Linked DNA regions of Drosophila melanogaster. Changing the gene in region 1 together with any one later gene gives a genetic interaction. Each region holds a gene or a part of one and is shown on either strand. Other genes may lie near its edges.

Region 1 (3,932 bases):
TAGCTGGTTTGCTGGCCTATGGGCGGTACTTAAGCTCACGCACACGAATGCAGTGTATAATATATATATATATATATGAGAATATATATAGTAGTCACTTTTTGCGCGCCTCAAAAATTGTTATTGCACATTTAAAGGCGTCATTATTAGCGGCTACACGGAGGCACTAACAATTGTCCATGAATTTCGAATGAAACTGGAGTCTACGCACTAATTGGACGCTGTAGGAGGATCGGAAGGAGCAGGACATGGTCAGGGAGAGTGGACCGATCTGGACCATTGGTATTGCAACTTTTTTTTTTGTCTTACTCCACTGCTCTTAGTGGGTTATCACATAAATTGTGCGCACAAATCTTGATCTGCAAATCATTTTCGACAACTTTACGGCCCCAAAGGCGAGGATATGGAGAAGGTGGTGGGGTTCTTTGGGGCATCGAGGCCCCACTCTATATGCATATGTATGATCGTAACTTTGCTCCGCTATCTGTCGCTGCGATCTCGATCAGAGTGCGCATGCCACGATCCACGATCGCAGGCAACAATATTTTGTGGAACTCTGCGTTTAGTTACTTTTATTTGTGGTCGCCATTTCCTGTGGCACCATTAACCCATTTTCTGAGGGAACTAAAGAGATTTGGTTTCAGTAAAATCGCAATGAAGTTGGAAAATCCTTGAAGCCTATTTAAACAATATTTCTCTTACGATTCTGCCTTTACAATTGGTTAATAATAATATTATGTTATTATTATGTTCATCATTTCTTTCGAAAAAAATCAAAAAGATTATTAAGAATACTTTTATTAATATTTTACTATGAATTTACTATTTCCAATGGAAGAAACAGAAAATTGTGCTTTTGATGTACAAATTTTGGAAATTTGTTATTTTTTTATCAGAATATCATCACAGGATATTATCACAGGATATGGAGAAAAACTAAGCTTCCCCTTAAACCAACCTGATTCTAACTGATCTTTTACTGATATGAATAGTGTCATTTTAAATATTAAATAAAAGTATCAATACATTAAATACATAAGTATGCCCAGGAATATGGCCAACAATGGGTTAACGGTCTCAATCAGAGCTTGGAATAACTCAGTTGACCCGTCCACTTAATTTAGGGACTCAACACTAGCTGGCACCGTCCTGTCAGCGACTAATGAAATTTATGCATTTATGCTGGAATCCTTGCCAGCGCCAGCGAGTGGAGGAGCACGAATGGGACAACGGACGATGATCCATGTTAATGTCCATCAAATGTGCCAGGGGTAAAGCAGCTGTCAATTCGATTGTTGGACATGTCCACATGTCCATGTTGCAATTTGCAATTAGCCGCACTAGCAACGGATATCGCAGAGGATGGGGAAGTAGAATGGCATTGGGATGGCGAATGGGGTATGGGGATATATAGAGTGGACATAGGATGCCCTGCAAGTGTCGCGATGCGCGTTTCCCGTGAGAAATTTCAATTATTTTAATTAGCGTGGCGATCGCGGTCGCTTTATTAGGCGAAACCGATCGATGTAAGCGCGTCTGCGGCTCTGCGGAGTCTGAAACCGAGTTGAAGTGTATCTGTATCTGGCCAATTTCCGCTGCACGCAACGCTCTGCTGCGCTGCTGCTCCGCCGCTGGCGTCGCTGCCACGAAGCTGGGAGCTGGAATTCCAAGTTGATAGCGAAGACAGTCGCCGGCAGAACAGGATTCTGGTACTCGGGCATCTTGAGGCCGCCTAATGACATGTTTTGGATAATGATGACGGTGCTGGAGAAGGAGTCTGCAAAAGACCTGGGCAACTTGGCGATGGAGTTGGAGAATGGCGTGGATACTGGTCCGCCGAGTGGCGATAAAAAGCTGGAACTTAATTTAAATTGATGACACTGCTCTCGTCGCCGGCCACTTGGAAAATTGCCCACAAGCGGCGAACGTTTGCCGAGCAAATCAATCTGCATGCCAGCAGTCGGGGATTCGTTTTGCAGATGGACCACCCGGCGCACGAATTCGCGGATGTCTCTGTCTCTGTCCCTGTCTCTATCTCTGTTTCTATTCCTGTCTCTGTCTTTGTATATTTTGCAGCTGTAACTGCGGGCTTAATTGGCCGCAGCGGTGTCAATTGCAGCGCCACCACTGCCATCACAATGAGGGACCAATGACCAGTAGTGTCTGGAAGTGGTTAGTGGATGGCAGTGGATAGTGTCTAATGTCTAATGGCCAGTGGCCAATTCCCTGGCCACCAGCGGGCATTGAATGCGACTTGCTGACCAAGAGTGTCGCCCGCTGTGATTGGGAATGCCAATTTCAGCAATTAACAATGGCCATAAAAGCCTTGCCGGACAGGTGAGTAAAGCCGTCTTAAGCGCAGCGGATGTGAGATACTAAGTATCTCAGTTACCAGATAGCACTCGCCAGATACCAGATACCGCATACAAGGAGCTTACACATGCAGCACACCGTGGATTAGCAGAGTGTGAAGCGAAGGCGGAAACGATCTGAATCCGAATTCGATGCTAAATATGTATCTCAATCCGATTCAGTGTGGGGCACTAACCCGTAAACAAAAGCCAAAGGCCGCTGTCGAACATTAATCAGCAGATCGACCCGCTTAATGCACGCAGAAAAATATATTGCCTAATTAGTCATCAGTTTTATGGGCTTTATGATTTATAACAATTGCTGTTCTATAATTTTGTTGAAGATGCTCCAACAGCATTCAATAAACAGATAAAAGAACACAGCAAACTTTGAAAACCCAGCTACCAAGTGCCAGCAAAAATTAAGTTAGGTTGAATTATAACTTTCTGCTACCAAAATAAATCATAGCTAACACATAGAAAGTTATATTCACTAATATTGTACTAATTATACATTTTCAAATTGATTAGGTTCGAAAAATACAGTTACGAGCTTTCATATAATGTATTTTCCAACATAAAGGCTTTCAGAAACCATTCTTATGCCAGCTATTAAACATTTCTCTCAGTGTGGCAACAAAGTAGCAACATTTAGGAAAACAAGACACGAGTCATAGCTGTTGCTCTACAAAGTATCTATATTATTGCCCTTTGGCGGAGACTTCATAGCTCCCAGCTCCAGCATCAACTTCAACTTCAACTTCACTAGCGTTCAAGGCGCTGCAATCGCTGTGGGTGGGGGAATCTTGTCGGTGGGGGGGGGGGGGGGGTAGTTCAACGACTCGATAACAATAAGATGTTGAAAGTATCCGATATTTGGCGGGTGGGGAAGTGTTGGCCCGACCTTGGGCCGGATTGACCGCTTAGAGCACTCGAATACGATTGAATTGGCCACAAGTGGCTGGCTACGTTGGCCCAATCACGCACTCACTTCCTGGCCAACTGACTGGCGTGACCCATTGCCATTGACCCATTATGCGATGAGTAGTGCCAAATCCCAAAACGCAAGCCAAACTTAAACCCAATTCCGATTGCAGTTCGTAACAAAGGCGACGGTATGTGCCGTGCACTCTGGGTGGGAATTCGGAAATAGACACGTTCGACAGCTGCGGCACATAAACAAGTTTGATTGTTACGAAACACGGGCATTGAAATTAAAAAATGAAGACGTCGAGATCGCGACACCTGAATTATTTGCAGCCCTTATCGAATAAGTACACACAACTCGCGGTATGAGTCGCAAAAACCAAATTAGAATATCAATCTCATACGAACACACACACACTGGCAAACACTCGGGGCAATCATCTATCTGAGCAGCCATTTTATGAGTCGTACGAAGATGGAGATACAGATGCAAAGATACACACTCGCACATAGTGCGTACTGTATCGGCTGGGACATTGCATGTCCATTCTAAAAACTCGCTAGCTGGCTGGCTGGCTGGCAGAAGCCTGAAATATTGAACCGATATTGGGCAAACGCGTTTTCCAAAGCGTCGACCACCGATCGGCTCAGTAC
Region 2 (3,553 bases), on another chromosome or scaffold:
GTGGCGCTGTACAATTTCCTGCGCAAGACGGACGACTCATTTCGGCGCACCAGCGACAGCATCGTGCAGCAAAGGGCAGAGCAGCAGCAGCTGGCCTACAGTGTCGATAGCGATGAAATTGACGACGATTGCATCATGCTGGCCACCGAGGAGGAGTTACGCGAACGGGCGGAGTTCACGCCCAGCGTTGGACTGACCACCTGCTTCCAGCCGCTGTGTACGCAGCGTGGCGAGACGCCCGAAGGTCTGGCTAAGAGGAACTGGCTGCTCCAGCTGGACTTTGCCCAACAGAGCGGAAACGGAAGCGGTATTGGCATAGGAATTGGCAATGGTAATATGAGCGGAAATGGCAGCATTGTCGGCAGTACAGACAGTGCGAGCGGCAGTTCAAATGGGAGTTTATATTAGTGCAATTTACCTAAGTACTTTACGAATTTTGTATAGTTCCTTGTTTTATATTTTCTAAATCTGTAATCTGTAACAGCATCTGTTGCCACGTTGCCGACTTTTGTTTACCTCTCTCGTTTGGCGCATTATCTACTGCATACCATTACGACTACGACTATGTTCACGTTCGTTCCATCTGCGTTCCGTGCTTCATCTAGGGTTCTGTATAGTTAGCTTAGTTTCTTGCGGAAGTTCCGGTTCGGTGAATGATGCTATGTGATGTCTCAAATCTCTATTGTGGCCCAGTGCACTGCTCCTGGGGAGCGGCCTGCTTATTAAACGGGTCTGGCAACAAACAAAAAAGTAAAAAAAAAAAAAAGCGGCAGCTGACAAAAATGTGCGAAGTCGAAGAAGTACATCGGAAACAGATCAACAAAATTAAAATTTTAGTATTCGTATTTAAGCAAAAAAAAAAAAAACAAATTATACATAATTATATTTACAAATAAATGTGTAAGGAGTGGTCTTTACGTGTCGAAACCTTATGCAATGCACACTCTATATTTCACATTTCTTCGGACCAGTTGGGCCACTGCTGTATCAGAGCGTAGAGTGCTTCTCCAGGACTCTTGGTAGCACTGACTTGACGATGGCCCAGTAACTTATAGCCCTCCACCAGCTGAGCCTGTTTGACAGCCTGCTCCAGCAGCTCCTTGGCGGCATCCAAGGCCTCCTTGTTGGGCGCCCGTTCTTCGAAGTTACCAATAAACGCAATGCCCAGGGAACCATCGTTATTGGGACCGGCAAAGGCTCCTCTCTGGCTTGGACTTCTGCCTTCGTATACCTTGCCATTACCGCCGATCAGATAGTGGTAGCCAATGTCCGAGAACTTTTGCTTGGACATCTGGAAGTTTTGCAGATTTTGCATGTGCTGGGAGCATGTAACATCATCCGCACAAGCTCCTCCAGCTGTATGGGCGATCACAGCACGTGGCAAGGGAGTTTCCATGCTGTCTATGGCTCCGTTCGGCGGTTTGGCATTCCACTCGGCCCTCGTCACGATCGGTACTTCCCCCTGGACAGCGATTGCTGTGAGGCCAACGATGAGCAAACCGATCCAAGTCATTCCACTTGCGTGTCTGTCAACTGACTGGGTTGGGATCTTATGGGCTGCGGCACCTATTGCCGCTGATAAGGGGAGTGCCCCCAAGGAGATAGTCATCCGACCCCATATAAATGAATGTATCATACATATATGAGGGGGATTTTTCTTGCCAGTGATAGATAATTGACAGGGGGTAACGATTATAAGAACAACTAGCATAGCAATATATCGTTCTCTCAGAATTTTTCTAAATGGGTAAAATTTGCCAAGCGAAATTCCCCTAAAAACTACAAGGCCACCACAAGGGGGACATATATGTAATAAAAAGTGTAAAATGTACATAGAACTTAAATCACTTACCACGTTCTTGTGAATTATTAAATAAAAATTTGCTGCTTTAGATTATTTCATAGTTCTTACTTATTTTACACTAACACTCGCGAATCAGCAGATTGAGCATTTTTACAGCATGTTGATTTGATGTTTTTCTTTGGCGGGATGTAATATTAATTTTACCGGAACACTCGTATTTATTTAGTTATAATCCCAATCTGACACAAACTATAATTAAACCGCACTATTTTTACGCGTTTCAATAACTGATTTCTTTTAATGCGATCGAATTAAGCGTTGAATTGCGTGTAATATCGACAATAGAAAAGAAGCCGAAAAAGTGAGCATTCGCGCAAGTGCCGCTATTTCTAGCTTGTAAGCCTGCCTTCGAGCAAGAACTAACTGTAATCAATTGCCTCTCTGTAAACAAACGTAAGTGTTTGATGCGATCGAATTACTCGCCGAATTGTGAGTCATAACCAAAGAAAGAGCGTGCTTTCGCGCAAGTGCCGTTATTTCGTCTTGCTTTCTTTAATCGAATATATTTCGGTCTCTTCTTTTGCAGCAGTTCTGTTTTTTTAGTGTGCGCGGAAGTACGTTCTGTTTGTATACTATTACCTCCTTTACTTATTAAACTAACTTTAAACAGTTATTTTAATAGTTAGATTCTACACAACGGCAACGTAGAATGATTTTTTACATACATAGGTCAGCTTAAAACAATTGTGAAATACTACTTAATAGCGAATGAATGAATAAAGCAAAGCTTTGGTTTCGGTTATTATTATTTTTTTTTTTTTGTTTTTTCTTTATGTGTTTTGTGTGTGTTTGATATATACATGTACATACATATGTATGTACATGCATACATAAGTATGTATGTATAAAAATAGTGAAATGCTTATACAGGAAGCCTGTATTCTTAAAAGATAAATATGATTAATATGTATAAATACAGAGAAAGTAAGGTAAGTAAGTTTTAATTTTTTACCTAATTAAAATAATTGGTTTGAAAATAATTGTACGCATAATTTAGTGTGTTGTGTACACTAATGTACATGTACAACTTTATATTGCAATTTCAATCTGAACATCCACTATCTAATGGTACACTTTATACCGCGTATTTCCCTTAAATGTATTGAGGCCCCCCGATTTATCCCTATTTTATGCCAGTTAATACGAGCCCACAGAAACCTCAACTTGACACAGATGTTCTAGGCAGTGATTTAATTAAAAAACTTTTGCAATTAAATGCAAAAACTGCAAAAAACAAAGCGGAGTGCAGGCCATTAAGCCCCCAAAAAAGGGCGTGATGAGGAAGTGAAGTCGCAAAGTGACAACGAAAATGCAAGTAAGCGCCCTCAATTAAAAGCCAAAATGAATATAAAATGCGATGGAAAAGGGATGAGAGTTGAGGGGAGAGTGGTGGGGAGAGCTAAGCCGCAACATCCAGAAAACCCGAAAAAGCCGGGCTAAAACCAAAAACCGAAGCCAAAACTATGCGCGGCTGGAAAAACCAGCTGGTGGCGGGAAAAACTCGCCGTTAACTTGAATTTAAGTGAGTTCTGAGTTGGGAGCACCCCTCCGCAAATCGGCTCCCTCAAAAAATCCGTGTTGTTTGGTTATTCGAATTGTTTTTTTTTTATTAGTAGGAGTTTTCCAATGTCCTGCAGAGAAAAACATATTTTTTTCGCCACTTCCATAGTCTCAATTTAATCTGTCCCG

The links.
Region 2: of Nox (region 1) and PGRP-SD, changing one suppresses a phenotype caused by changing the other (phenotypic suppression), as found in Drosophila melanogaster (one study listed by BioGRID).

Annotation. Positions count from the first base shown.
Region 1 is NT_033778.4:16,305,118-16,309,049, forward strand, and holds the start of Nox (NADPH oxidase), read left to right. Parts: upstream 1-2,151; 5' UTR 2,152-3,932.
Region 2 is NT_037436.4:7,649,165-7,652,717, reverse strand, and holds PGRP-SD (peptidoglycan recognition protein SD), read right to left. Parts: upstream 1,539-3,553; 5' UTR 1,514-1,538; coding exon 953-1,513; 3' UTR 818-952; downstream 1-817. Other genes in the region: CG7492 (uncharacterized protein), read left to right, coding at 1-408. UniProt on the Drosophila melanogaster protein: Peptidoglycan-recognition protein that plays a key role in innate immunity by binding to peptidoglycans (PGN) of Gram-positive bacteria and activating the Toll pathway. Has no activity against on Gram-negative bacteria and fungi.